Schizosaccharomyces pombe: one gene and its partners. The gene in region 1 interacts genetically with each later gene. Each region holds a gene or a part of one and is shown in the gene's direction. Other genes may lie near its edges.

The links.
Region 2: of cid12 (region 1) and rdp1, extra expression of one rescues a mutant of the other (dosage rescue), as found in Schizosaccharomyces pombe (2 studies listed by BioGRID, with this or other methods).
Region 3: mutations in cid12 (region 1) and cdc20 impair growth when combined (synthetic growth defect), as found in Schizosaccharomyces pombe (one study listed by BioGRID).
Region 4: mutations in cid12 (region 1) and cdc27 impair growth when combined (synthetic growth defect), as found in Schizosaccharomyces pombe (one study listed by BioGRID).

What each region holds. Positions count from the first base shown.
Region 1 is NC_003421.2:1,653,502-1,661,825, forward strand, and holds cid12 (poly(A) polymerase Cid12), read left to right. Parts: upstream 1-2,144; 5' UTR 2,145-2,167; coding exon 2,168-3,178; 3' UTR 3,179-3,580; coding exon of another isoform or gene 3,581-4,015; 3' UTR 4,016-4,129; coding exon of another isoform or gene 4,130-5,044; 3' UTR 5,045-5,133; coding exon of another isoform or gene 5,134-6,282; 3' UTR 6,283-6,579; downstream 6,580-8,324. Other genes in the region: splicing-associated factor Saf1, read left to right, coding at 375-1,211; NatA N-acetyltransferase subunit Naa50, read right to left, coding at 3,581-4,015; trp663 (TRP-like ion channel protein), read right to left, coding at 4,130-5,044, 5,134-6,282; SPOM_SPCC663.15C (uncharacterized protein), read right to left, coding at 6,781-8,324. UniProt on the Schizosaccharomyces pombe protein: Has a role in the RNA interference (RNAi) pathway which is important for heterochromatin formation and accurate chromosome segregation.
Region 2 is NC_003424.3:1,322,839-1,330,850, forward strand, and holds rdp1 (RNA-directed RNA polymerase (RDRC) Rdp1), read left to right. Parts: upstream 1-2,102; 5' UTR 2,103-2,167; exon of another isoform or gene 2,168-2,247; 5' UTR 2,248-2,414; coding exon 2,415-6,062; 3' UTR 6,063-6,223; downstream 6,224-8,012. Other genes in the region: exo8 (exocyst complex subunit Exo84), read right to left, coding at 1-1,117, 1,161-1,302, 1,357-1,414, 1,461-1,498; phosphoribosylformylglycinamidine synthase Ade3, read right to left, coding at 6,424-8,012.
Region 3 is NC_003423.3:3,251,609-3,260,967, forward strand, and holds cdc20 (DNA polymerase epsilon catalytic subunit Pol2), read left to right. Parts: upstream 1-2,113; 5' UTR 2,114-2,280; coding exon 2,281-8,880; 3' UTR 8,881-9,098; downstream 9,099-9,359. Other genes in the region: respiratory chain complex IV assembly protein Cox20, read right to left, coding at 995-1,191, 1,345-1,459, 1,526-1,576; chaperonin-containing T-complex eta subunit Cct7, read left to right, coding at 9,311-9,344. UniProt on the Schizosaccharomyces pombe protein: DNA polymerase II participates in chromosomal DNA replication.
Region 4 is NC_003423.3:1,060,465-1,066,174, reverse strand, and holds cdc27 (DNA polymerase delta subunit Cdc27), read left to right. Parts: upstream 1-2,750; 5' UTR 2,751-2,797; coding exon 2,798-2,851; intron 2,852-2,900; coding exon 2,901-2,956; intron 2,957-3,012; coding exon 3,013-3,179; exon of another isoform or gene 3,180-3,233; coding exon 3,234-3,301; exon of another isoform or gene 3,302-3,357; coding exon 3,358-3,465; exon of another isoform or gene 3,466-3,539; coding exon 3,540-4,205; 3' UTR 4,206-4,457; downstream 4,458-5,710. Other genes in the region: fol1 (dihydropteroate synthase), read right to left, coding at 1-1,975; pre-rRNA processing protein Esf1, read left to right, coding at 4,605-5,710.

The sequences.
Region 1 (8,324 bases):
CTTTTTCTTAAATAGCCAACTCTTACATGTCAAAAATGGAAGCCTTGAAATGCAAGGCCAGAAAAATAATTACGTTTTAAAGCCCAATTCTACTAAATGATTGCTAATACAGTAGAATATACTTAAACGAAAAGATTCTGAAATTCCATCATTGACTCATACTCTATATACACAATTAATTACCAGCCTATTAACTTTAGTTTTTAGCTCATCAACTTCAACATTACTAATTATTCTTTATTTAAATTTAATGTAAACGGTCGATTACTCAAACCAATTTAATACTATTCTTTGTCTATTTGCCTAAATATTTTATACATGTCACGTTTTTGATCACCACCATTCTAAACCCATACTATACTTGACTCTACAGAATGCTGTCAAAACGGGGATTAAATCCCGTTCAAGCGGAGAGCAGAAAGAAGAAAAAAAGAGAACAAATTAAAGTGCGAGAAGAAAGAGCAAAACGCCATGAAGAACGACTGTCGCATAGGAATATGAGCCAAATGGAACGCCAATTATCAGAGCTGACACAATTAGAATCTTCGCAAGCTTTAAATGCACATGACAAGCAATTATTACAAAATTTGCAAAGAGATATGGCAATTATGAAGAAGAAAAACATTCATGGACATAGAGTTGGGCGTGTTGAGTCAGACAAGACTAAGGAGGCAGAACGTCAACATAAACCTAGAAAGCCTTTTATCCCTAAAAACCCAAAACGAAGTATATATTATGATCCAATATTTAATCCTTACGGAGTTCCGCCGCCAGGAATGCCTTATCGTGAGAAGGAAGAACTAAGTTCAGAAACAGATGAATCCGTTATTGATATACCTTTACCTTCTGAAGAATATCCTTTTGAGGATCCAAAGCCAAGGGAAAAGAAAAATAAGAGCTTTAAGCCAAAGCACCACAAAAAGCAAGACATAAATGCAAGTTCAGCACAACCAAAATCCACTACTACGACAGAAGCTGCTGCAAATACGAAGGACATTGAAGAGGAAACTATGATTGAGTACTCAGCTCAGCCGGTAGTCAGAGATTTACGACAAGAAGCTGCTCAATTTTTACCTGCTGCGTTTCAACGACAAAAACTAGCCAAGGGGCAGAAAATTGGACAGCCAGACAGGGATGTATCGAGCCAAGTTCAGGAAGACAAGGATGAAGAAATAGATAATTTCTACAAAGAAATTGGCGGATATCTATAAAAAAGTCGTTAAAATTATGGAGATTGGAAGTAAGGATTACCAAATGGGTGTAGACGGAATTTTTAGTTAATAAACATGCATATTAATTTATATATAATATCTGTTTACTAGGTTCAATTTTAAAGGAGCTTGATTGCATCTCTGTACTTGTTTTTTTGTTTTATTCAATTATGAGTGAGCTTTCATAAGTTAATTCAAAGGCTTATTATTATGATGCGGTCAATAATTTCAAATTTTTGATGTCCAAAAAAAACAAAGGAGATTTTGTTTCTGTGTTATTGCATGATATTTATTAATGTTTTCTTGGTTCAATAATTCCTTATTATAGTCACTTTTACACTGCTTGAGCGAAAGGGGATTTCAAAAAAACACCTTATATTCATCTTTCCGTGATTATTTCAAGTTGACTGTTTTTTGTGAATTTGTCTTTTGCTAAATTATGATTGTTACACTTAGTCCTACACTGTTCATTACGAATCAGATTACCAAAAAGAAAGAAGTACATGACTAATTACTTGGATTAATTTTATTTTATTTTCATATGTATTTAGACGCCATGACAGTATTTACATGCGTAAACCAACGAATTCGTTTATCAAATAAAAATATCATAAAGGAAACCTTTAAAAATCGAAATACACATGCTTAAGTTAAAATTTGCACAATGAGAGATGAGGGAGTACTTATCTATCTTTTGCTTGCTTTTCTTGGGTTCATAATCTTTGGTTTTCGCTATAAATGCTGTATGAGACTAGGAAGCTTTTGCAGTCAATCATTCTATTATTTATAAAAACAAATAAGTTATTTATTGATTAAAAACTCGTGATACTTTTTTTTGCTATAAAATGATTTATTTACATATAATTACAAGGCACTCGCACGACCTCGTTATGTGCGAGGAGCCATGAAATTGAATCCATTGATATTAAAATTAGCCAAAATGCCATTTCTTAAGAATGGGTAAAGTCCTGTTAGAGCTGCATTCAGTACCATGGAATGAAGAAGGTTTGAGTGATAATGCTCGACTTTATTCATTTTTGGAGTTCGTAAGCCCGAAAATCGAGGAATTGAAGTACAGAAAGCTTTTGTTAGAGAAACTACAGACTCACATTAGGGAGGTCGTTTTGGATGCTGAACTTCAAGTATACGGTAGCATGTATATTGGAACAACATTATCTATAAGTGATGTAGACGTATCTTTGAAGTCACCTCGAGTTGGAGAATTGGAGAAACGACGCGTCACCATGGTTTTAAGAAAGTACTTGGATGCTGATGCTGATTTCCATTCTAGTGCCAGAGTCCCTCGCATCAATTTAGTAGATGTTAGTGGAATTGGGGTGGATTTGACGTTTGGAAATGACAAAGCTTGCAGAACTGCTGAATTGCAAAAAGCTTATAACGAAGAACACCCAATTTTTGGTAGATTGCTGATGCTATTGAAGCACTGGTTGTTTGAAAGAGATTTGGAAAACGTTCATCATGGCGGGATTGCAAGTTGCGCGCTCTCTTATATGCTAATTGGTTGGCTTGAAATGCGATTTCACAAAAAGGGAATTGATTCGGAAGTGCAACCAATTCGAGCTTTACTACAGAAATTCTTCTATTTTTGGGGAGTCGAATGGACATACGAACTTTTTGTATTGAGACCTTTAACCGGTCAAATAGTTCCTAAGCTACAAAAGGGCTGGTTAAACGAAGTGCAACCAAATTTGCTATCTATTGAAGATCCAATTGACAGAAATAACGACATTGGAAAGCAATCATTTCAAATTAGTATGATTAAAGCTGCATTTGTTGCTTCAGCTAATGAATTATTATCCGATAAGACATGGTTTAGCACCTTTGCAATTACGGAAGATGAAATGTTTTTGTGTAAACAGTTTGAAAATGTTATAAATACTAAACGAAGTTTGGTGGAGGGATATGATAGTGATACGGAATCAGATGAATTACAAGCTGGCGGATAACTGCGGGTTAATGCATTTAAAAAATAATGCTCGCTGTTTAAATAAACATTTGTTTTTCAATTCCTAAGTTGTCTTGCCGCATGTGGTAATGTTTCACTACAGTTCGTATGTACTTTACTCTTGTTTAATTGAATGGATTCATATTCTTATTATTGATAGGATATAAGAATCCTACAATTATCTTAGTCATTTTCAAGTCTTTTAATTTTACTTAGGCAAGGTTCGGCTGTTTCAAATGATATCACATTTTGTACCTATTGAAGGTGCTAACAAAATCTGTTCTTTAAAAATTTCAAAATTAAATCTATTTTATTCTTTTAAAATCTATCCAAGGATCCATGTTAGATTTTCAAGTCAATTTAATAATTGCATTTCACTTAGATTAATAAATGTGTGTGCAATCTATAGCTTTTTCGAAAGAAGGACGCTATCTTCTGTTTTGGAGCTCTCATCAATAATGAATCCCCGATGAATAAACCATTCGGATACATCGAGTTTAGGGCTTAATTTAATGTAAATTTCTTTGGCTTTTCCCTCAGCTGCAGTCTCGCAAGCATATTCCAACAGCTTGGTACCAATAGAACGGTTTCGATAGGCTGGCAAAACTGCCAAAGATAAAATTTGGATTTTGTGCGATTTATTATGTGTTTCTTTTTTGCATCTAACAGCTCCTACGCAGACCTGGTTAAAGTACGCATATTGTGCTAAAGGCCCGACTGAGATTGTGTCTTTGTAAAAGGAGGTTGGAAATATAATGATTTCAGGATCAAAACACTTTTCGTTAATAACTTCAAGGATTTTCAGATTATTAGGGTTAATCGCATCAAGTTCAATCATCTTTTTTATGCAAATGCAAATATCTTTTTCTATATGTACTTGGTGTTGTCAACTTTCAGTCTTTAAGGCATTCTAATGCAATAGTTTGAGTTGGAAACATCCACGATAAAATCTTTAAACAGTACGCTGCATTTCATTAATCCCGTTGTCACATGAATGTGAAGGTATTGTAGATGCTGGTCGCATAGGAGAAGCGTTAACAAGGCTGAAGACATCGTCATTTCCATCTTCCTTTGTGTCTACGTTTCCTTCTTTCTTTGTGGTAGAGGGCTCTTCAAAATTTGATTCTTGTGGGATAATCTCTTCGGTGGATAGCTTTTCACTTGCAGAAACCGCAGGATTCTCAAAGTCAATATGAAGTTGTCTTTGATATTCATCTATTAATCTTCTAAGCCAAGGGACTGTGTAGCTAATGGCTGGCCATGCTGTACCTAGCATAGTAATGAAGTTCCAAAGGCTCCACAGGGCCATAAATGAAAATACCAGCCCTTGTATAATGATAAGAATGATTGCAATGATCACTTTCGGAATGATTGCTAAATCAAATGCTATCGGTATGAGAAGAGCAAAGGAAACCACTCGGGTGAGAGCAACCAAAAAGACGCAAAAGGAATTTTTGAAACCAACAAAAGGCCGAAACACTGCTAGCAATATAAAAGAGATGATTTCAATAACAAATAGAAGTATAGTTTGAATCTTCGCAAACTGTTGTACTAACGCTAAAACCAATGCAAAACTAAAATAATGTGCAAAGCAGGCGTAAACATAGAGCCATCGCCGTTCTTTTAAATCCAAATATAACCATCCCCACCATGTGTATATTTTTGGATCGCTTATCAATGTTTCTGGATTGTCCTCGTTACTCAAGCCTGACGTTGTTATCACTCTTATGACTTTGATAGTTAACCAAAGGAAAAGCCCAAAAAGCAGTGCCAGAAGCAAAGCCGCCAATATTACAGGGCCATATGCTTCCCTAAGTGTAAACTGGTAAATTATCATAGTTACCAATACAGGCCAACAAACCAACACCTATATCAACCAGATTAGTATAAGTATAAAGCAAAAAAGTCGTTAAGAGCTATGTATGAACAACTCATTCCTTTGTTCAATTAACTTACCCATCTCATACAAGCATTAAAAAGTACTCTAAACCAATACCTTGTGATATAATCGCATGAAGATTTTGCGATTATACGTGTCTGACGAAGAAACTTAATAATAAGTACGAATATTATAACGATTCCTCCTGCTATGGCCAAAGAAATCAAAAACCATATTAAAGTGAGTGTAAATAAATTCGTTGTTAGCGTTCCAACTTCGGTGGCTAGGCCTTGAAACCCATGGTAAAATCCAGGAATCGGGCTTTGAGGGTTTGTTGCAACAGCATCTCTTCGATGGACTCCACCTATCTTTGGAGAACTTAGGTTTCCATTGGAATGCTTTCTAAAAGACTCAAGGCTGTTTTCTATCTCTTTATTGGTAATAAATCCTAGAATCCATGCAAAATTACTAGCCCATGCGACTAGCACTTTTGGCTGTGTAATTCCAATTGCTCCCGTGAAAGCTATACATTGAAGTAGCTCTCCCATGTGCTGCAAAGAAGGAACGGAATTGATGAAAACCTGACGTGTCAGATAGGTGCTATGCTCCATTCCAATTACATAAAAGCCTAAGACGCCTGCTATACTCAATGCCAAAGCAGTTCCACTTAGAGCTTTTACGACTTTATTTTTAAACGTATGACCATTATTAAGTGTCGCGATCATGCACGCAAGTGGTGTAGAATTATCGATGGATGACGCTGCGATGTCTTCTGAGCGATACATGCGAAAACGCACTAAGCCTTCAAAATCAGGAATTCCCCAGGCAATTTTTGGGATCATCTGAACATCTTGAGGGCTCACTGGAAGTATTCCCTGTGTGGTTATAGCTGTATCTCTTGCAACTGGGCACACAGTATTAAGATTTATTTCACAAGGGTCGAAAGTAAATCTTGCCCTCTGCTCTCCATAAGCTTCAACTATAATATCAAACGTAACATTTGCGTCCACAGATGAATATCCAAGAATATTAAAGACTACTGACAAGTTTCGTGTATAATAACTTGCATCAAACCGATTAAACACTATCGGGGCATTTGACATGCATTCTGCGTACTCGGCTGTTCCAAGTTTGTGATTTGGTCTCTTACTATATCTTACTCGACCTTCCACTGACGATAAGATATTACTTAAAACTGCAAAGTAAGCTAAGAGTATTAGCTTCATTTTCATTTTCCATTAACATCCCCCTTCCAGTTATGTAGAGGGTTTAACTTTGGAACGAATGCAAAAAAAATTAAAATGAACTTTCCTCAGAATTACCAAACTATCACGAATAACAAAAACATGCTACTGAACTCAAATGCCGTAATTTGACTGTAATGTTTACGAAATAGCAGTCGTATTTTTTAACAACCATAGCATTGAGTTAAATACAAGGATTAAATAAATAGTAATGAAACGATTGAAGCTTTAAGATTTTTACGAAAAAGAATACAGAACGTGGCTTCGTTTATTTAGTTACCACCATCTTAGCATTGTTCTTACGCTCACAATTTTACACTATGAAAAAAGCAATATAATGGTAAAGAATGTATCATTAGTAAAGAATAAAAAAAAGAAATGCATTTTCATTTCATTTGTAGTTGTGAGAAGAAATGATGGAATGTGCGAGCCTCACTTGATTTTATGTCATTATGTTTTGGACCTCAATTAGTAATAAAATTATTCTGTTGAAGTCATTTCTGAAGGCGTTTCTTGATTTTTCGCTTGTAATTCGTTGAGTTGCTCCATTAAAAGATTTCGAAAAGGAGTCAGCAGCTTCTCTTTAGTTCTATTTAATTTCATTCCACAATTTGGAAGTTGTGGCTGCGGTACTCCATGAGCTGTAGTGGGTGTAATAATTGCGGACCCAAAGAAGTTATAAAGATGTAAAAGCCATTCACTAGTACTATCTTTATTCTCAATAGCCTTCTTGCTTTCTTCATCAAGTTCCTTCACATAATCACCAATTTCTTCCAAAACTTGATGTTTTGTCTCTTCATCCAAGGTATTTAAAGCTTTATGGGCAACATCTACCGCATCAGGAGTCTTCACCTCAACACTAAATTGTTTTAAACAATGGCGATACCAGTCGCACCACTCTCCACAAAGATCGGGCGCATTCACAACAAGTCGGTGAATGAAACGGACAAAGCAGCTTTGATAACGTTCAACAAGATTGATGAACTTTACTAAGGGAGCACCGGCCTTTGAAAGCTGAATAACATCCCATAAGAAATACTGAAAGTCATAAATAGCTTGTGAAAAATCGGCAGCTTGATGTGCTTCGTAAATGATATTATAAAACGCATTCATAAATTCTCTTACAACATCATTCAGTTGATCGTTGTCACATAGATCGTGGATTAAACATTCGCGATCACGATGTGTTAAAGCGGCATCAAAATATCTCATGGCAATATGGACACCTTTCTCGGAATAAGGATCGAAATGAAAGTCTTCAATCTCGGAATGCTCGGTTTCAGATGCAGTGTCGGGTACTTCATCTTCATTGCCTTGGACAGACGAGGCCTTATCGGAGTCTTCCTTATCAACTCCTTCAGTCTCGGTAGTTTCAGTTTGCTGTGCTTCGTACGCCTCTAAAATTGCGATAGTAATGTTCAGTTCCTTATTGATGCTTTGAGAACGAACATCATCTTGTTCAGTACGCGAAAGTTGAGTGAACCATTGCAAGGCTTTACGCATCGTCTCCCATTTTGCATCGTCTTCAAATTCTGCATCTGTCTCAACCATAGTGCTCTCACTGTGCTCGAGATCGGCATTAAAAATACCGGCCAACATTGTTTGTAGCAGATTGCGACTTTCGCCAAACCAGGAAAGCGGTTTCATCAAAAAAAGTCGAGTAAGACCAGACATCAAGAGACCAGCATTTCCAACCCGAAGTACTTGGCGCGTTAAAAACCAAGGGATACGATTGTAAAGACGCTCAACTACACCTTCAGGGCCCTTTCTATTACTAACAAGGTGAGGAGACTCAGGAATAGCATCGACGGTAACAAAGGAAAAATGCAAAATAACAGCAATCGTATAGCGAATGTTTTCTATCACAGACCTCAAAGGTTCATCCCAGCTGTCGACATCCTCTGATACTGAAATCCTATCGAGAGCTTGTTGAAGACCATCACCGTACACTAAAAGTGAATATGCCTCACGAAGACGCTTAACCGAAGGATAATGCAGCCTTTCGGGGCCATTTGCATCATCCA
Region 2 (8,012 bases), on another chromosome or scaffold:
GAGCGTAAATAACGAACTATTTCTTTCCCGTGGGAAAGACTGATTCCTTTAAATCCAAGTTGATGAAGTAAAATTTCCGTCACCTTTCGCTTTCTATTGTGAAGTTTATCTGCAAAAAATTCGGCAAACAACTCGTTTAGATTACCACGCTCTAGCTTATTTTGTATCAAAGCCAAATTTCTAATAGCATCCGTAAACTCTTGTAAGCTAATTTGTATGTCGAGATGATCAAATTGCATAGATATTTCCTTTACCATGTTTCTCTGTTTGGCATAAGCCTGAAGGATGTCCTGAGTATCCAGATTTTTACAAAGGACTTGAAAGGATGTATACGAACACATATCGGCTTGTTCCGATTTAGTATGATATTCTAGTTCACGACTAAATTCGAGATCTTCATCATGCTTTCTAGACCAATTTTCTAGTTCTTGAAGCTGGTGATGGCGAGCCTGACGAACCATATAATCCCTTTCTTCACTATTGTGTACTGCCAACAATGTGGTCTTATTGTTATGGTTAATTGACAGTTTGTATAGAGAGACCTCTTTCTCCTTCTGCAGCATTTCAGCACCTGCTGGTCCATAAGTTTCAATTGAAGAAATAGAAATTTCGGTTAAATTCCAATTATACAAAACCTGCTGCTTAGCAGGGAAATCAACTTCTTTCATGTGAGAAGTAGTAACCAACAGTCTATCATTAAACAGAAGCATATTGACAAGAAGCTTAGGTCTCTGATTGTCAATATTGATTAACATCCAATTGTATTGCTCACATATAAGCTGTCTTTGAGGCGCTTCCCAGAATGCTTCATCTAGCCCTTCAATGGATGATCGTAGTCTCTGTACCGTTTGTTTTATTGATTCGTCGGAAGGGTCATGCGTATGGTCGACCAAGTTTAATCCTTCAATGTCAGTCTCCAGGGTTTTCAACAGAGACTGAAACTTTTTAAAATCTGAAGTCATGCTCTCAACCTCCCCTGATATAAATACATATTCATTCAAATTTTTGTAAAAATTCTTTTCCAAATTTTTACGGACGCCCATGTGAATGCGTAGAAGCTTATTGTATAAAGACACAAATTCATCTTCACTAAGGTCCTGTAAAACATCGTTTAAATCTTTTTTGCAAAATTAGTTTCCAATAGACATAATTACACATACAGCTTTGAGCATCAAAATTTTGATTATCGAAAAATTTAGGCTGTAAAAAAACTTCATTTTGTGAAATGATATGTTTTGTTTGCCGTTTTTGTCGATAAATATCATCTGTTTTAGAGGTACCGACTCGTAATCGCGTCGGTGACTTTTAAAAAGCAGTTTTAGTAATAGGTTGTTTTTATTTAACTTCAGTACATACCTGTCTTTGGCTTTCATTTGGTATGGACTCCGAAGCAACACTTAAATGATTAGATTTCCTAACAAAAAATTAGCTCAAACACCCGATATTCTCTAGCTGCGTACATGAATTCATCTTCAAAAGAAGATGGATTGTCAGGCATTTTTTTTTCAAGTTTCTGATAGAAGAATAAATATTATGTATCTAAAGGATGTTAAATTGAATGCTTCACATTTGAAATAAGTTTAACAATTTACCAATTAAAATAAGGGAATGAAGAACCTATTTGTGGTATTTACAAATAGGAATAATAAATTAATTTATCCTTGAGCAATTGCTCTATTTTTAAAAATCTATTAAGTTGTTTGCTTTGCCGAAGTAGTTGGACGTGTTTGTAAAATCAAGCGCTGACGAGGGGTTTGGAATATCAGGGCTGCACTTAATTTTGAAACGAGTAAAGCTACGTAGCTCAAATTATATACCATGCTTAAAAAATAAATTTATAGTAAATATCAGCTAGATATTATAACACGATATTGAACATGAATTAAGGTGCATGATATCAGTCGTTTAACTGATGGAAGTTTCCTAACAATTTTTTATTCCTTGGTGAAAAAACTACCTCAATATCTGCTTTGGATTGAAAACTGAAATTCAACTTGCCGGTTCATATAGGATGAATATGTATTCTTAGTATTTTGATTCTACTTCCCTATACGTAAAGGAGCCTTCACTTAACTTTATTCCACCGTGCTACAAACTTCCTTCAAGAGCAATTCATAGATATTGATACTATAACGGTCAATTAAATTAAAAAGGCACACATATACATGTATGTATAAGTGGATAAATAGGAACATTATAATCTTTTTTATATAAATCGAAGGTTTTTCGTATCTAACGAATTTATAGCCAGCTGAAAGGAATCTTCTATGATAAAAGACCACTTCGCAGAGCGAGGCTGCTGATACTGCATAAAGGCGCTATGAGATTTAGTGTTTTATTTTTACAAAAGGTTCCAAATTGATTTGTTGTCAGGGTTATAATTAAATCCAGATTTTGTATGGCAATGTAAAGCAATGGCAGTTTCGTTAAATGACTTTATAAGTGTTAAATTAAAACGTTATTCTCGTGAGTCACCCTGGGAAAGACTTAGAGTCCCATATAGAAACAAAAAGCAAAAGAAATGGGCTTCCGTTCACAATAATGAAGCTCAGTTGCACTCGGCTAATAAACGAAATGATAATTGTCTAATCCAAAGAAGTAGTACTTGGAGATTGGGGGATATGATTACACTTGTCATAAAAGATATTCCAGTTACTTGGCTTTCAAATGAGGGAGGAAAACTATACAACTTGTGGGAACCCCTTCATGATTACGGTACAATAGAATTCATGAAGATTAATGAACCTTTGAATGGACAGACAAGTACTACTGCAATAGTCCAATTTGCTCCTCCTCCCAAAGTTCCATTCTGGGAACCAAATGGGAAAATAAATGTCAAAGGTGTTGATCTAGCTGTTCAAATTGACATAACAGCACATCGTTCCCACATCAGCCGACAAGTTTTCTCTAAGAATAGTTTTAGAAGCGATCAGCTAGTAAAAATCCCGTTATCCTCCTTTAAGCTCGGGCAAGTTTATGATGAAAGAATTGTCCCACTGTTTGGTGTTGATTGTGGAATAACTGTAACTGAATCAAACTTACTTGTATATTTTAATTTCAAAAAGCTCTGTGTTCTCTTTGATGCTTCTTTTGACAAACAGATCGAAACCTTTCGTCTGGACTTCGATTTTCATTCCATAATAGGCGATGTAGGGACGGATTATTACGATGATCATATTTCCCTCGTATTTAGATTTAGATTTTCTCCACTAATTTTCAGAAAATCTAAAAATGCAACTGAATCCAGAGTTCAAACTTTCTGGACTGCATCTCATCTTTGGAGACGACATTATGATATTCTACCTTTCAATGTTTCACCAACGACTGCTAGTCCTATAGAGCTACTTAATTGCCATAACGCCCCCATTGGACGCTGCAATGTTTTAGTCCTTAGCTTTTCCATAAGGGATGAGTCTGATAAAGATGACATTGCCTTTCTTTTACACAACTTGGAAAAATTCAATTTGAAAAGTCAACTTGATAAAGTGGTTTTCCATCTTGTCCCAGACTACAAACATCGCTGTAGTCTAATAAATGATAAAGAAATTGAGGAAGAGATTGCTTATCTTTTGCAGGCTTGCCTTTCTAAAAACTTATTATCAGAAATTGATTTGCCCATTATATTGGCGAATTTAAAGAAATTATCGAAAGAGAGAGCAAAAAAATTCCTAAGACTAATTCTAACGTCCAAAACCGCTTTAATAAATCCTTCTGAGCTAGATTTTACTAAGTCTTTTGTCTTTTACGATTTATCTTCCGCTTCTTCTATTCACATTAAAAAATTGTACGTTACACCTACTACTCTTCGAATAGTTGAAGACTCATTAGAAGCAGGAAATCGTGTTATAAGAAATTTTAAGGACTTTGCAAACCGTTTTATGCGTGTGCAAATAACTGATGAATACTATAAGCAAAAAATTCGAGGCGGTTCTGATGGGTTTAGAAATGAAAAATTGTATTCTCGCATCCAACAATTATTAACCTACGGAATTAAAGTTGGTAATCAAATTTACGAATTTTTAGCTTTTGGAAATTCTCAATTAAGAGAGCATGGTGCTTACTTTTTTGCTTCGGGATCTGATCTAAATGCCAAACAGATCAGGGAATGGATGGGTGACTTTAGTGAAATCAATTCAGTATCTAAGTATGCAGCAAGGATGGGACAATGCTTTTCAACGACAAAGGAAATTAATCGATTTTGTGTTGACATATCCCTTCAGGATGATATTGTTCGTAACAACCACTGCTTTACTGATGGGGTTGGAATGGCATCATTATCTGTAATTCGAAGACTTTCTTTGGAAGTAAAAAATCATGATATGTTTCCCTCTGCGTTTCAATTTCGTATGGGTGGTTATAAAGGCGTTTTATCTTTAGCTCCTCCGACTAAGCTTGAATACCATCAAGGAAATCTTGTGTTTCCACGCCGTAGTCAAGATAAATTTAAATCATTCCATAGTACCTTGGAAGTTATTAAAATATCTCGATTTTCAAATGCCCATCTGAATATGCAACTGATCACCTTATTGGAAGGACTCGGGGTTGAAAAAACCGTATTTTTGGAATTGACTAGAAGTCAGTTGTCAAAAATGAACGAATCGATAAACAGCAAACAAAAATCCATTTTAATGTTACGGGACAACGTAGATGAATATCACTCTACTTTAATTATTGCTGATTTTATCCAGGCCGGTTTCCTTGAAAGAGATGATGCTTTCACCGAGAATTTATTAAATCTATATTATGAATGGGTTCTTAGGTTAATTAAGGAAAAACAAAAAGTTAGTGTTCCAAAGGGTGCCTATTTACTTGGTGTAGCTGATGAAACTGGAACACTAAAGGGTCATTATGATGATGCTGTTTTGTCAGTACCTGAAATTTTCATCCAAATTACCGACACTTCTACCAGTTTTGGTTCATATTCAACTGGAAAGCTGAAAACAAGGGTTATAGTTGGATTGTGTATTGTTGCAAGGAATCCCTCGCTTCATCCAGGTGACGTACGTGTCTGTAAAGCTGTCAGATGCGATGAGCTTATGCATTTAAAAAATGTGATAGTGTTTCCGACAACGGGTGATCGAAGCATTCCTGCTATGTGCTCTGGTGGTGATCTGGATGGGGATGAGTACACAGTTATATGGGATCAACGTCTTCTTCCTAAAATTGTTAATTATCCCCCATTGCTTGAATCATCTCCCAAGAAGTCTATAGATTTTTTGGAAGGAAAGCCACTTATCGATTCGGTAAAAGAATTTTTTGTGAATTATATAAAATATGATTCGCTAGGTCTAATTTCAAATGCTTGGAAGGCATGGGCCCATGACCATGATAATAATCCGGAAGGGATATTTGGAAATGTGTGTTTAGAACTTGCAGAAATGCATTCAAAAGCTGTAGATTTTGCTAAATCGGGAGTAGCTTGTAAAATGCAAGCCAAATACCATCCCAAACGATATCCTGACTTCATGCAAAAAACAAAAACTCGTTCTTTTCGTTCCGAAACCGCGGTTGGCAAAATTTTCAGATACGCTGCACGATTCCAAAGAGAAAGTGGCAGACCTGCAACTTATAATCCGATAATGAATACTGTTTATGATCCTTGTATGAAACTTCCAAGGTTTAAAACTGAATATCTGAATGTAGCTGAAGAAGTGAAGAAACACTATGATAATGACCTGAGATCAATTATGGCTCGTTTTGATATTTCCACAGAATATGAAGTTTACACAGCTTTTATCCTTTTTAAAGATGATTTAGCTAAAACCGTAAATGAATATGGTCTTAGGGAGGAAGTTAGCTTTCAGTTCGACCTTCTAAAGAAAAAATACACTCAAGAGTACTTAGAGAAATGCGCTTTATCAAATCAATCGGCATTTGATTCTTCGGAATATGAAGAACGGATAAACAGTGCGGTTGCTGCCACTTACGATGTGACATACGATCAACGTGTCAAATCTGTTGGCAATGGCACTACTGAGGTATTGATTTCATTTCCATATTTATTTTCTAGTCGTCTTTGTCAGCTTTCACGAAAAGCCATGCTTACTGCTAATAATTTTTAAATCGAATATACATTCGAAGCTTTAATTGCTCGTAAAAGGCTAATAGTAATTGTACTCATTATCGACAATGGAACATAGAACAGCAAAACAGGTAGCTAGAGTTAACATTTAACAAGACTGTTGTATGTTTCTGCTGAAGGAAAAGAGTTGTCATAATTTTTACACATATACTCGATGGTTAAAGCAATTTAATCGTAATAATGTATAATTAACGATTTTTATATCTGCCAAGCTTAATCTAATTTTCACCATTAATTTAAGTAGAATAATTATAAAATTTTGTAACACGAAACAAACCAAAACTGTAAAGAAACTACGGCATGTGAACTCCAATTCAGCTTCTCCGGGCAAGATAAATGCTTTAACCAACCCATTTTCTAGCAGATTGGAAAAGACGGATCCAAGGACCATGAACGCCCCACTCGCTAGCTTTCGAATGAGGGTAATAACTGTTTGCAACTTTCAAAACTACACGTTCAGGGTGAGGCATCATAGCTAAAAAGCGACCACAAGGGGAGCGAACACCAGCTATAGCATCTCTGCTTCCATTAGGGTTGAATGGATAACGGCTAGTACGCTCGTTGTAGTTGTTAACGTAGTATATCAAATCCAAACCTTCCTTCTTAAATTGTTCGTAATCGGACTCTGAATCGAAAACAGCTCTACCTTCTCCATGGGCAACGACCACGGGTAAACTAGATCCAGCCATACTTTCAGTGAAAATGGATTTTGAACCACTTGTTTCATCGATCTTTAACATAACTGCACGACCTTCGTATTGCGCTGACTCATTAAATGTAAACATAGGCCAGCTTTTAGCTCCTGGAATAAGTGATTTCAGACGACTGAACAGTTGACATCCATTACAAATACCCAAACCAAATGTGTCTTTACGCTCGTTAAAGAAACGGTAAAACTCATTACGAGCATCTTCGTGAAGAAGGATGGAAGTAGCCCATCCATTGCCAGATCCTAAAACATCACCATAAGAAAACCCACCACAAGCAGCAATACCGACAAAATCATCCAAATGAACTCTACCGCTGAGGATATCAGTCATGTGAACATCCACGGCAGTAAAACCGGATGCATAAAAAGCATATGCCATTTCCAAATAACCATTTACGCCTTGTTCACGAAGAATTGCTACTTTGGGACGACTAGTTAAAGCCAAATCAGCGGTAACTGACACATTTGGATCAAATGTAAGGTGGTATCCTAAACCAGGATCATTATTATCGGCAATATTTTCCATTTCCTGTCGTGCACATTCAGGATTGTCACGAATTTCTTGCATTTTATAAGAGGTTTCATGCCAAATTCCGTGTAATTTAGAGCGAGTTGATTTGAAGATTATTTTACCAGAACGGCTAAAAGATATTGTTTGAGCCTGGCCGGAAAGTACTTTACCGATGCGATGAACACAAGTACTCAAACCATTAGCAGCAAATAACTCCAATACCTTGGCAATGTCACGATCACAAACTTGAATTACAGCGCCTAATTCTTCATTGAACAAAGCCGCAATATTATCGGATGACAAAGAATCTAACTCACATTCAATACCAACATGACCGGCAAAAGCCATTTCACTAAGAGTAACAAACAAACCTCCGTCAGACTTATCATGATAAGCCTGAATGTAGTTGGTTTTATGCAGTTGAGTAATAACGTTAATGAAATTCTTGAAAGTGTCTAAATTATCAAGATCCGGCACCTCATCACCCAACTGCTTATAGGACTGAGCAAGTATAGAACCGCCTAAACGTTGTTTTCCATTTGCTAAATCAATAAAAATCAATGAGGTGGATCCGATGTCCTCAACTTTACGTAATTGCGGAGTCCAAATGGAATAAAGATCATCAACAGGAGAGAAGCCAGTAATTATAAGTGAAAGAGGTGCAGTTACGGATTTCTCCCTACCGTCTTCATTCCATTTCATACTCATGG
Region 3 (9,359 bases), on another chromosome or scaffold:
TCATTAATATAATTAATAAAATTGAATCTAATTTTGAACATAAAAATAGTGTAATTCAACAGATTAGTCGAATAAATAAAGTGAATAATGATACAGCTAAAGTTACGTAGTGCAGCATCACCATATTGCTGGAAACTCACAGTTTTCAATTGAATTAAAATAATCGTTTATGACTACATAACTAACATAAATGTTGCTATAATGAATGCAATTCCTTCTAGTACAATATTTAATAAACGACTGAAGTGCCACTAACTTTCCTCCTAAAAACAGTATATCTCATCGATGATAATTATAAATAAAGAAATTACCCTGATTAAACTACTTTGTTAAAAAATAATAAACAAGAATGACGATGGGACTGCAAATACTTGATTTTAATGTTTTTTCTAGCCAATCGTACAAAAATTGTCGTAAAGAATACATATTTACATTCAAAAATATCACATAGCTTATTCATCCAGTTAGTAGAAATAAACCACCATAAAGGTCTTGTTACTTTTATTTTGGAAAGTTTTTAGCTGAAATCATGCGATGCCCTCGCAAGGTCGTAGACTGACTTTACGATAAAGGGGTAAACATACACGCACGAAAGATTGAGATGAGCTAGTACTTATAAAGTAAATAACGAACAAAAAGTCTACCATTGTTTAGTTAATATTGGGAAAATGTGGATGCTGTATATTTTTAAGACTTTTTTGCTGTTAATACAACGTTCAAGATACCAAGAGTATGTATTCCACCCATTGTAATGGCACCCTAAAAAGATTGAATTCTTCGAGGCAGTTAAAAATTCAACATTGGATTCTTTGGTGATAATTCACACTCTTCAATGAATACCATTTAAAAATGACAAACCATTCCGATGAACTCAAATTTAAAATATTAATTGAATAAGAGTTAATCGATCAAATGAAAAACTCAGCATACCATGCAATAGAGGGATGAAAAGAGCTTAAGAATAAGTAGAACCTAAAGAATCAAATGAATGCAATTACTCGTTAAAACCTTCATCAATTTCTTGAGCGGACCTTGAAGAGCGATGCTTCGGGGTCTTTTCTGCTGCTTCTGTAATTTTAATGTTGAAGTTATTAGTTTCAAGCTGCTTGCGGTAATTACACCCTTCCCAAGAGACGATGCTCATTCCAAAATAAGTTCCGAACCCCCAATTAGCAGCTCTAGAAATAGGTGCTTGAATATTGTTAGCATGTGTCGGCAAGAATTTAAACCGCTTATTAAACAACGGATTGAAATCACCGTTTTAAAAAGTTGGTCCGAAAATTAAAAGACATGCGATTTTTTTTGACGGACATCAATTAACCAGCATAATGTTTTTTTTCGTACCTCGAAGAAACAAATGGATGCAACCAACACCTAGACCACAGACGACACTGGTGATTAATGATTCCTTAAAACAAGGATGGTGTACCATGTGAGCAAAATCACTCATCTTCAATGACTACAAGTAGTATTAGCATTCCTTGCATTTACAACAAACTAGTCCTTTTTAAGCTATAAATTCTACCTTGAAAGCGTCAATAATCCCAGGTTTTTCGGGTTCATTTGGTGTACTCATAGTTACTGATTCGTTTAAGCTTTTTCAGTTAATGGTGGAATAGAGGTAAATATAAGGTATCAAACTGATTGAATTAAGCACTACTAAGTTTTTTTACTATGGCGGGGTCTTTAATCCTGTACTTCAGCAATCAGACAATATTTTTTTCTTTGAATTAATATAAACTTTTCCATTTATGATAGTATATTTCGCCAAAATAACCAAGCTTTGACAATTTATATCACTGAAAGCAGAAACCGCGTCACCATGCTTCTCTAAAAGAAAACTGCTTTTTTTTTTTTTTTTTTTTTCTTTAAATTCAATCCTTAAAGGAAGCAATATCGATTTGAAATAATTACTTACGGTCGAAACACACGATCATTAGGCTAATGTATACTAAATTTTGTATTTTTTTGTACTTTGTCTTTATTTTATGGCAAAAATAAATAAATTGTAATGCTTTGAACTGGAACATGATACCCAAAATAATTTGCAAGTTGTCGACGCGACGCGACTTGTTGTTTACCAATTTGTTGCCTCTTAACTCGGTATTAATCCAAACCACTATATCACATTTAAAAGGATACCTAATGTTTGTACAATAGAAGAAGTTTCTTCTTAATACTATTCCATTTATTAATTTAGAATTCTCTGGTAACAATCGGAAATTACTAAACTGTCGGTCTCTTTTTACTTTCTTTTTTTAATATTTATTTTGTATTGCTATGCCCTTAAAAACAGCTCGAGGAGCATCCAAATATCAGTTTAGGAAATTTAATGGTAACTACAATGGAAAAAGTAAATCGAACGGTAGGACGTTTGCAAAATCAACCGAGGAAGTTGGCTTCAATGATCCTATGAAAATTGTCTACAAAAAGAATGAGATTGATCGAATGATGGGTTTTGATAGCTATGAAGGTGGACAACCACGAGAAGCTTGGCTTCTCAACGTTCATCCAACAGTAATCGAAAGCACCAAAGGCAATTCTACCCTCAGTGCCGTTGACTTTTACTTCATTCAAGACGATGGTGACACTTTCCGGTGTACCATTCCATACTCTCCTTACTTCTACATTGCTGCTCGAGAAGGTAAAGAAGCTTTGGTTGACGATTATTTAAAAAAAAAATTTGTGGGCTTAATTAAATCTACTACGCGTATCTTTAAAGAAGATTTACAGCTAAAAAACCACATAGTGGGTTACCAAAAGTTGTATATAAAGTTGGTTTTTGATAACCTGAATGACCTTCAGGCTGTCAGGAAGTCTTTGATGTCTGCTGTGAAAGCTAATTCTTCCCAACAAGATGCCGTTGATGCATACACTAACTTGTCTTCGGAGAATTTAAACGGGATTATAGAAAACGCATTTGAAGATCCTTTAAATCATGTTTTAGATATCCGTGAGTACGATGTTCCGTATCATTCTCGTACACTTATTGATTTGAATATTCGAGTCGGACAATGGTATACTGTTTCATATCATGAAGGCCATGTTCAAATATCCCTTTTAGCTTCCCGAATCGAGCGTGCAGAACCTACTATAATGGCTTTTGATATTGAAACCACTAAGCTGCCATTGAAGTTTCCTGATAGCTCGTTCGATAAAATAATGATGATATCTTATATGATTGATGGCCAAGGATTTTTAATTACCAATAGAGAAATTATTTCCCAGAATATTGAAGATTTTCATTATACTCCGAGGGAGGAATTTGAGGGCCCATTTATTATTTTTAATGAGCCTGATGAAGTTGGCCTACTTCATCGATTCTTTAAACATATAAGGTCTGCAAAGCCTTCAGTAATAGTTACATACAATGGTGACTTCTTTGACTGGCCATTTGTAGACGCACGTGCTGCATTTCACGGATTGAATTTAACAGAAGAAACTGGTTTCTTCAGGGACGCAGAGGATGAATATAAGTCTTCTTATTGTAGTCATATGGATGCCTTCCGGTGGGTAAAGAGAGATAGTTATTTACCTCAAGGAAGTCAAGGTCTCAAAGCTGTCACTGTCAGTAAATTAGGTTATAATCCTATCGAACTAGATCCAGAATTGATGACTCCTTATGCAAGTGAAAAACCTCAAGTTCTTGCTCAATATTCAGTTTCAGATGCTGTTGCTACTTATTTTCTTTACATGAAATATGTGCATCCTTTCATTTTTTCTCTTTGTAACATTATCCCATTAAATCCTGATGAAGTTTTACGTAAAGGCACGGGTACGTTGTGTGAAACGCTTTTAACTGTTGAGGCTTGTACAAAAAATATTATTCTTCCGAATAAACATGTTGATGCTAGTCAAAAATTTTTCGACGGTCATTTACTTGCAAGTGAGACTTATGTTGGAGGACATGTTGAAAGTCTTGAAAGTGGTGTTTTTAGAAGCGACTTGCCGACTAATTTCAACATGGATCCAAAAGTTTATGAAGAACTAATTTTACAGTTGGACAAAGCCTTAGATTTTTCTTTAACAGTTGAAAACAACGTCAATGTTGATGAAATCGAAAATTATGAAGAGGTTAGAGACAGCATATTAAAGAAACTAAGTGACCTTCGTGATCGACCAAAAAGGTCGGAGAAGCCAAGGATTTACCATCTTGATGTCGCCTCAATGTACCCAAATATTATGATTACCAACCGGTTACAGCCAGATTCAGTAAAAGATGAATCGTTTTGTGCAACATGCGATCTTAATGTGCCCAATAAGACATGTGATCGTCGGATGGTATGGGCATGGAGAGGGGAGTATTACCCTGCTAAAAAAGGTGAATATCATATGATATATTCTGCTTTACAATCTGAGCGTTTTCCAGGCCCTACCCCTTTCTCACCTTTTAGGTCATTTCAAGAGCTTTCTCCCTCAGAACAAGCTGCTATGGTGCAAAAGCGCATTGCGGATTACAGCCGTAAAGTGTATCACCGTCTATATGATAATACCGTTATCGAAAGGGAAACTATAATTTGTCAAAAGGAAAACTCATTTTATATTGATACGGTAAAAAGCTTTAGGGATCGCCGTTATGACTTTAAAGGATTGCAAAAAAAATGGGTCAAACAACTTGCTGCTATAAAGGAAAAAGGAGGACTTGCTGAAATAGAGGAGGCCAAAAAGATGGTCGTACTCTACGATTCTTTACAGTTAGCTCACAAAGTTATTTTAAACTCTTTCTATGGATATGTCATGCGAAAAGGCTCCCGTTGGTATTCGATTGAAATGGCTGGTATCACATGTTTGACAGGCGCTACGATTATTCAGATGGCTCGTCAAATAGTTGAACGTGCAGGTAGGCCATTGGAACTTGACACAGATGGTATTTGGTGTATTCTTCCAGAATCGTTTCCTGAAAACTTTGAATTTAAAAAGAAATCCGGAGGAAAGGTTTTTATCTCTTATCCATGCGTTATGTTAAATCACCTGGTTCATGAAAAGTTCACCAATCATCAATATTCTGCCTTAAAGGACCCAGAGAAATTGGTGTATGAAACAACTAGTGAAAACAGCATTTTTTTTGAGGTTGATGGTCCTTATAGAGCTATGATTTTGCCTGCTTCAACGGAAGAAGGTAAAAACTTAAAAAAGCGTTATGCCGTTTTCAATTTCGATGGTAGTTTAGCTGAACTTAAAGGCTTTGAGGTGAAAAGAAGAGGAGAATTGAAGCTCATTAAGGATTTTCAATCTCAGATATTTAAAGTTTTTTTGAAAGGTGATTCTTTAGAGGAATGCTATCAAGAAGTTGCCTATGTTGCTGACACTTGGTTAGAGATTCTATTCACCAAAGGCTCTAACCTAACAGATGATGAATTAATTGAACTGATTTCTGAGAATCGTAGTATGTCTAAAGCTTTGTCTGAATACGGAAGCCAAAAATCGACATCCATTACTACAGCCAGGCGACTGGCTGACTTTTTGGGTGATCAAATGACCAAAGACAAAGGTCTAGCATGTCGTTTTATTATTTCCGCAAGTCCAAAAGGAAGGCCAGTTGCAGAAAGGGCAGTACCGGTAGCTATTTTCTTTGCTGAAGAATCTGTTAAGCGACATTTTCTTAGGCTCTGGTTGAAAGATAATGGTCTATATGATGTTGATATTAGAGACATTATTGATTGGGATTATTATTTGAAACGTCTAGGATCAGTAGTACAAAAACTAATTAGCATCCCTGCTGCTCTCCAAAGGATTTCAAACCCCGTTACCCGTTTTCCATTGCCGGACTGGCTTCAAAAACGAGTTGCTGTCTTGAATTCTAAATACCAACAGAAAAAGATCGATTCCATTTTCTCCTTAGCCCCTACAAATCCATCCACAATAAACAACACAAAAGTTACTGATATTGAGGATTTAGGAAGTGTGACTCACAAAGATAAGCGTATTGTCGCTCGAGTTACCAAGCGTAAACTTTTACAACAATCTGGGAACTCGGAAGCACCTGTATCTTTTGAAGTAAAACCTGTATCCTTTATGGATGGATATTCGAATTGGCTTAAGTATGCTAAGAAAAAGTGGAAATATCAGAAGCAGGTCAAGCTTCGAAGAAGACATTTAATTGGGTTTCAATCAAGGCAATTCACCAATGTTTTACAATCTTCTGCTGAAGTTATGTTTGAAAATTTATGGCATATTTTACAAATACGAGAAACCGATGTTCCTGGTATTTTACATGCTTGGGTAATTATTCGTAATCGGTTGACCTCGATACGGTTCATTGTGAATAGAAAGTTTTTTGTATGTTTCAAAGATGAGACTTTACCGAATGTTGAAATTGAGGGATGCTTAATTGAAAAAAGCAATGCGATATTACCGCATGGAAGCACTTCGGATAAGCTTTTTTTACTTGAAATTCCAGAAAAGAGCTATTTAACGGAAAAGGTATCAATTTCTATGATTTTTGCCCATCCGTCTGTTAGTGGAATATATGAGACTCGTATAGAACCAATTGAAAGATTGATATTAGAAATGGGATCCAGAAAAAGGTTTAATAATTCAGTACCTGGAGCGTTAGGTAAAGGCTTCGAATTTGGATTTGAATCTAAAATGTTCACTGACCCAAGTGATAACGATGTTTCCTATCTTGATGGAGTAGAGATGAACTACCTTTATGCATTCCATTTTTCCATTAGTAATAGGTTTGTTTTTTCACTTTTTATGCCACATTTAAAAAAAGTTGAGGCCATAATTTATGACAAACTGCCAGGTAGTGATATGTCTTTCCCATCAATCAGCAAAATTTACGAAGAGCTACGGTCGAAATTTGATAATTTAATTAAGGAAAGTAGTATCGAATACCCTGATACTCTTTCGTGTAATGTCATTTTCTCGGGAAACGAAAGGAAAGCGTACAAACTGATAGATGAAAAGTTGCTTCAATATTTTTCAACTAAAACTAAAAATAGTCTGCTTATTATTGAAAGTTCACTCCCTCACATATTGAAGGCAAATGTGAAGCAAATTGAAGAGCTTCCGTATATAATGATACCACGGCTTGAGAGCAACATACAGTCTCTTTCTTGGAAACAACACATTGCTACGAAAATGATCCAACATTTCTTAGCTATTGGTAGCTGGCTTTTCCATCGCATACAACTTTCTCGCTTCTCAGATATCCCATTATGCAACTTTGAAAGCGATGACATTCAGTACAGTATCGATGTTGTTTACTCTAGAAAGCTGAAAGAACATAATATTATCCTTTGGTGGAATAAAGGCCCAACTCCAGACTTAGGTGGTATTGAGAAGGATAGTATTCTGCAGATTGCCAGTCCCAAAGATCCACTAGAAGTTAACAATCCTGGTGCTTATTCAAATGCTTGTGTTGACATTTCTCTTTCCAACCTTGCACTTTGTAGCATTCTCAATTCTGCTCTCATAAATGACATAGAAGGTATTGGCGACATGGCAGCTTTGAATGATAATTACATGACCGCCATAAATGATGATCTGGAGGAAAAGTTGGGAATACATGATAATATTGGACTGACACATTCATTGCCGGTGTTGAAGGCGTTGGTTAAAACTTGGTGGAACGAAGCTGCATCCGGTAATAATCTCGCTGATCTTATAATTCAACATTTAGCCCGATGGATTTCTTCATCAAAATCTTATCTGTACAGTCCTTTACTCTCCTCGCACGTGGAAGTTATAATGAGAAAAACTTTTTTACAACTTCTCTCTGAGATAAAACGCCTTGGAGCACATATCATACACGCTTCTGCTAATAAAATATTAATCAAAACGAGCAAATTAATCGTCCAGAACGCTGTCACTTATTCAAATTATTTACTCAAATCCATTAAGACGTTACCACTATTTCACTTTTTGGATCTAAATGTCACGGAATACTGGGATTATCTTTTATGGATGGATTCCGTTAATTATGGAGGAAAAATGGTGGCAGCAAATTTTTCAGCTACAAATGAAGAACCACAGACAGTTGTTTCATGGCACATTAAAAGTCATTTACCTCCAATCATTCAGCCCGAATTTCAGAGTTGGATTGTTGAGTTTATTGAAGAGGTTTATAAGCAAAAATTAGAAAAGTCTAATACAAAAGTTGGGTTTGTTCGCGTGAAAAACAACAATGCTGATGAGGACTCTGAAATAGTTGGATCGGGAATTTTAAAAAGTAAGTTGATACATCCTCTTAAACGGAAAGTTGCTCAAGTAAGGAGATGTTTTCAAGAGCTTCAGCTTGATGAAAATACCAGAGAAGATCTTAAATTTCCAAAGTTGCCAGGTTCTTTTCTTAACTATACTGATGGCGCTCTAGAATTGGTTAAAAGCATCTGTGCTGTTTTTGAACTCTCCCATGATCTCAATTTGGAGGTCCGTTTTTTAAAAAAGAGTTTATTGTCACTTTTACAAATTCAAGAGTTTTCCACTCAGGCGGTATTTCGATATCCTAGTCGTCGACTTTCACTTGATCAAATACCCTGTAAGCAGTGTGGCGTCCATCAGGATTTTGACCTTTGTTTACATGAGCATCTATGGCCTACTCGCGATGACATGGGGACCTTGGTGTTTTCTGACGGATGGTCTTGTTCCAGCTGTAACTTAGTTTACGATCGATGGGTGTTTGAGGAAACTTTGGTGGATAACTTATACCATCAATTGACATTATATCAACTGCAAGATTTGATTTGTTCTAAATGTAAGACAGTTAAGCAATGGTCATTAAAGGAACGCTGTTCATGCAGCGGAGAATGGGTATTACAGCTTTCACCTACAAAGTTTCGTGAAATGTTAAACGTTTATCAATCTGTTGCTGATTTTTACGAGTTTTCTATATTGCAAAATTCTGTTCAGTCCATACTTTCTGTGCTGAACTAACATTTCTCGCCTGACCATGAGCATGAGTTTGGCTTTTTTGTCTTTATATGTATTTTATAAGTTATTTTGATTTTATCTGCTGCTGGTCATATTTATTTATTTTTATATAGCAGCATATATGTTTTTAATAAAGCATCTCTCTTTTGATAATTACGCATCCTAAATGCTTTTTTGGAAGATATTGTACATTCTTTCGATAATTTACCATTTTTCCACTCATGCTCTTAAACGTTCGAATAAATATTATAAATTCAGTTAGTAAATCACGTACAAATGCACACAGTTACTGTAGTTTAATAATAATTTTTTGTTTACAAGTTTAGTGGATCCTAACGATAATTCTTTATAACACGCCAAATGAGTCACCTAAAACTGTAACTTCATTTTTGCCAAGCACCAAATACAAGTGAATTTGGGTATTTGAAATAGAATGTCGCTTGGAGGTCCTCAAATTCCTGTCATTGGTAAGTTTGTATGCA
Region 4 (5,710 bases), on another chromosome or scaffold:
GTTCATGAAGTCTTCCTAATAAACCGGCACTTTGTTTAGGTGTTTTTGCAAATCCAAAGCCAGGATCCAGTATAATATTGTATCGATGAACGCCGGACTGAACCGCAGCTTCCACGCGAGACGACAACTCGACAGCAACTTCTTCAACGATATCTTTTTCATATATTGAAAGTGCTTTCATAGTTTCTGGTGTCCCTCTCATATGCATAATACAAATGGGCACCTGTAAACTTGCAGCTAATGGTAACATTTTCTCATCACCCATCCCTCCAGTCACATCATTAATAATATTAGCACCTGCCTCAATGGCTAGTTTTGCAACTTTTGAATAATAAGTATCGATACTGATGGGTACTGTAATCCCTGAGCTTCGAAGTAAACTAATCATAGGTATTACTCTTCTGAGTTCTTCCTCAACAGACACGGGATCAGCTCCAGGTTTAGTAGACTGCCCACCTATATCTAGGATAGAAGCACCATCTCCAACCATACTTTTTGCTTTTTCAAGGATATTATTCTGCGAGACTTTACCACCATCAGAAAACGAGTCGGGGGTCACGTTCAAAATTCCCATTGTTAAGGCGCCATTAATGATTTTTTTGTTGTCAAAAGATGAGTACAATCTTATTCCTTGTGAAGGCAATTTATCAAGAGCTTCTTGTAAGGGCTGATGGGTATAAGGGTGTACTAAGTCTGGGCTCAAGGCCAGCAATGGACGTAAAACAAACTCACGTTCTTGCAGCCCTAAATGGGGAATAGTCAAAACTTCTGATTCATAAACACAATCTTCGTACAAGACAATATCGAGATCTATACACCTTGGTCCTTTTAAAATTGTTTTGATTCGACCCATTTCTTGTTCAATGGATTGACAAGCTCTTAAAAGATTGATAGGCGACATTCTGGTTTCAATTTTGCAAACACCGTTCAAAAAAGAAGGTTGGTCTTTATAATACATCGGCTCTGTTTCGTACAAAGGGGAAACATCCAACACACGAATACCCTCTATTTTATGCAACATAGATAATGCTGTTTGGATTTGCTCAAATTTGTCACCAATATTTGAACCAAAAGACAAATAAGCAATTTTGTTCTTAGTGGATTCGTATTTATGCAGAGACTCTTGTAAAAAGTACGACCGTGTTCGATAAATTTGCACCGCAGAAGCATTGGCGAATGTGATAGCACTAGGTTTCTCAGCTTTAATGCTTATATCGTCTAGATTCTTTGTAAAACAAAGATACTTTGAAAGATTGACAACCAAAGCTTCTATAGTCAGGAAAGCAGATTGTTCGACATATTCGGCGATTGCGCGCGCGATCTCTAAAGCTTCGACCTCCGTATTTGCAAATGATATATTTAAGCAAACTCTTTGCTTCTCTTGTCGTTCAAATGCGTGAATTCCTAATATCGTAGCTAACTCCAAATCCGAGAATTCAATACGATCTACAAAGTTACTGGTAGAATTGCGTTCGCGCTCAGCATAATAGTGCAATCCATTTTTAGACCTTAAAACACATTTGGGTAAAGTAAGCTTAATAGAAACATGCGAGGTATCAATAACGTCTTCAAAACATAAACTTGCAATTTTATTGACCAAATCTTTAGGGGTTGTAAAAAAAGACCCTTCAATTTCTTTTCGTAATAGCTTAGAAGCTATACCGTAATGAATCGTTGATTTTAACTCGTCTTTTTCTCCAGCTAACTGAACATTGTTTCTCATATATACATCAATTTGCACTGGCTGAGGTTCCTTTCTTTTCCATTGGTCTTGACCCACTACAGCAAATGTGTTAAGATTTTCAACTACGACAGTGTCATGTATCAAGTCCATTTGTCTAGTAGGATGTCGTAGAGATGAGAAGCGGAGTTGTCTGGGGATAGTGCTGACTATTCTAGGTATTTTGGCAAAACCATGGAGAGAATTATTTCTAATGAATGGATAGATTCCCCAAAGGTTTACTAAACTTTTCATGAGAGTTTAAAGAATTGATTATCTATATTGGAAGTATTTGCTGAAGCGACCAACACCATGATAAGTAAGAATAAGCAATACCTACGGTATCCTGATGTCAATTATCTAAAATGAAGGCATATGGGATAAAGAATTGTAGCATTATTTGACTGTTATTAAATTTAATTCATTATTGAATACAGCTGGGAATATGTATATACTCTGATCATTTCTATGGAGCATAGAGCGATACTGAGAAATAATATTATAAGAGATTTGTCAGATGACTACATTAATGTGCTACAAATCATTATACCCGAAAATAGAAATAAGGGAGAATCAAGTTTGATTAAATATAAAACATTCCAACAACTTTGTGAAACTCAACCTTACGCTATCAGCTTAAAAGCAGAAGGAAATTAGTAGAGAAAAAAAATCAAATTGCCATGTTCAAAATTAATAAAATTTGAAAAACATTCTACTAAAAAATGCCGTAAATTACTAAATCAATTTCTGTCAGCGTTGATGAAGTAACTTCCCATTCAATTTTAAATCTTTCATTAGCATACTTCTATGAACTGGATAGCAGCAGTAATTGAACATGCGATGTCAATATTTAGATTTTAAATATTTTACATATTGTAAATGTAGTTAAGCATGTATACTCCATTAATGAAAATGTAATCTTTCATACATATTTCGTCTGCGCTGGCTTCAGTACTTAGCCTACCTTAGGATTGTTCCCACTAATTTTCAATTTCGTTGATTTTACACACTGCTTCTTATTCTCGTAAATACCACTTTCCTAAGGAATACTTAGCGGAAAAAGAAATTTCTAAAAAAATGGAGGAATGGAGAAACTTCTTAGATATTAAAGTTATCAATGAATCTTCACTTGTAAGATATGAAATTTCAACAAGAATTTGAATGTCTAACTGTATAAAAGGTAACTGTAGATAATTTAAGTCTGCAATTGGATATATCCAGTGAAAAAGCACAAGAGTAAGGAACAATACGCATTATTTTTTATTTTTATTATTAATAATTCATACTTTCAGATATCTTAATATGTTTTATCAAGGCAACGATTTTTTGTATCCTATATACCTTATTCATGGACAACCTATAGATGATGAAATTAATTTGGAAATTGACGAGGAATCTCAACCTATATCTAATTTTCCTGTTTTGCAATACATTTTGTGTGATAAGTCTTCTCTACAAGGTTTGTTATTGTCAATTCCGATCATTCGATAGCAGATTCGCTAACTATTTGTAGAGAAACAAAGTAGATTGAAAAGTGGGTATAAAACTGTTATATTTGCTCTTTCATCTGCTCCATTAAGTGTAAGTATTCGATAAGCTGTATTTTATATTGTTACAAACTAATTGATTTAATTAAGGATTTTGACGAATTATTACCTGCAGTATATGAAATAAGAGAGAAAGATGTTTTATACAAAAAAGAAGATGCTGATAAGTATGGATTTATTTTCAATGAAAATTCCGTGGTAAGTAATTTATATCACAACAATCGTTGTTTGACATTCGATCCTTCCGTCTTCGGAAGACTAACTTATTGTAGCCTCGTGTTTTGAAAAAGGCACCTTCAACTCATTCCCCCCAATTATCTGTTCCCTCAAAGACATCGACAATCGATAAGACTGACACACGTAGTACAGAAAAGACTAAAGGGAAAGATATTTTCAGTAATGCAAGGAACCAAAAGGGAAACTCATCTCGTAAAAATAAAAAAGCTCCTCTTGAAAATCATAAAGAAAAGGAGCCTCTCTTGCCAAAGGAGGAGAAGTTGTCTGAGCAAGCAAAGAGAGAGCGCGATGATCTGAAAAATATTATGCAGCTAGAAGATGAATCAGTATCTACCACTAGCGTTCACGATTCTGAAGATGATAATTTAGATTCTAATAATTTCCAATTGGAAATTGGTACCGAAGCAAAATCTGCTGCACCTGACGAACCTCAGGAAATTATCAAATCCGTATCCGGTGGAAAGAGACGTGGGAAAAGAAAAGTTAAAAAGTACGCGACAACGAAAGATGAAGAAGGATTCTTGGTTACTAAGGAAGAAGAAGTCTGGGAATCATTTTCTGAAGATGAAAACATCTCAACTGGTACTTCAAATGTTGTTAGAAACAAACCGACTACTGTAAACATTGCAACTAAGAAGAAGAATACTGCACAAAGTAAACCACAACAAAAGTCTATTATGTCCTTTTTTGGAAAGAAATAAGTTACTATTCATTTTCGATAGTATTAAAACATGTGTTCACGAAGTCCCTTCAATTCTCATGCAAGCTATTATCAGGAGTTTTATTCATATAGAAAAACTGTTAATGTTAGTACAACCTTTAATCCTAATCTACTGTTTTTAGTTTTGTTTACACTATTCACAACCAACTATGTAAGTCTAAGAGAAGTCGAAATCAATTATCAATACATCTTTTAATTTTAAATATCATAAATAAATATGTTTCCTCAAAGCATAGAAGAATCGATTCTTTTTTTTATTAGAAGTATTAAATACTCCATACATTAATGAACCACAATGCGTTAATGTGCGTTAACTACAACACATAATTTGAAAGTTGAACTTCATATTTAGTCAAAGCCTTGTATATTGGAAGTAGTCATGGGCAAAAAGCAGACGAAGCCTATTAATGCTAAATCAAGGAGTGAAAGCAACGTAGTTGCGGATCCTAGATTTCAATCAGTTCACTCTGATCCTAGATTTTCTAGACTTAAACGTGGCAATTTTAAAGTAAAAGTTGATGAGCGGTTTAAATCTCTCAAGGAGGATAAGGACTTTAAAACTACTGCCAGTGTTGATCGATATGGCCGTCCTCTCAACCAAGATAAGGCTACTAAAGAGATTGATAGACTGTATGAACTGGAAAATGAAGGGTCGTCCAGTTCGTCTGAATCATCGGAAATTACTGACAACGAAGAAGTCGCTTCAGCGTCTTCGAAATCCACAAAATCGGAAGAATTAACCGATGAGGAGTCCGAAGATGAGGAAGTATATGATCCAGCTCGTGGTGAGGGAATTATTAGTACTTCGGAAAGTAGCGATGAAAGCGACGCTGAAAGTGAAACTGAAGCTCAACCGGAGATATCCGAATTAGCTGGAATCGAGCCAGAAGAGAATATTCCTCGTGGTTCAGAAACTAACCGTCTTGCTGTAGTAAACATGGATTGGGATAATCTTCAAGCAGTTGATCTTTTTGTTGCTCTTTCTTCTTTTTGTCCTCCTGGTGGGAAGTTACTGAAAGTGTCGATTTATCCCAGTGAATTTGGAAAATCCAGAATGGCTGCGGAACATGTTCAGGGTCCTCCACGTGATATATTTACTCCAGCTGACAATCAACCTTCTAGCGCCGAATTGCATGAGGCTCAAAAATTTGGTTTTGATAACAATGAGTCTGATCAAGATGAGGAAGATGCTTTAATAGAGGAGGATTTAGGCAACGAGTTTGATATGGTAAAATTACGCCAGTATCAATTAGAAAGGCTTCGTTACTATTACGCAGTAGTGGAATGTGATAGTGTAAGAACGGCAAAGGTTATATACGAAACTTGTGATGGCGCTGAGTATGAAACTAGCGCTAATATTTACGATTTAAGATTCATTCCAGATGATGTTACATTTGACGACGATGAATCTCGCGAAGTATGTACTAAAGCGCCCGAAAAATATGAGCCGAGAGATTTTGTCACCGATGCATTGCAACATTCAAA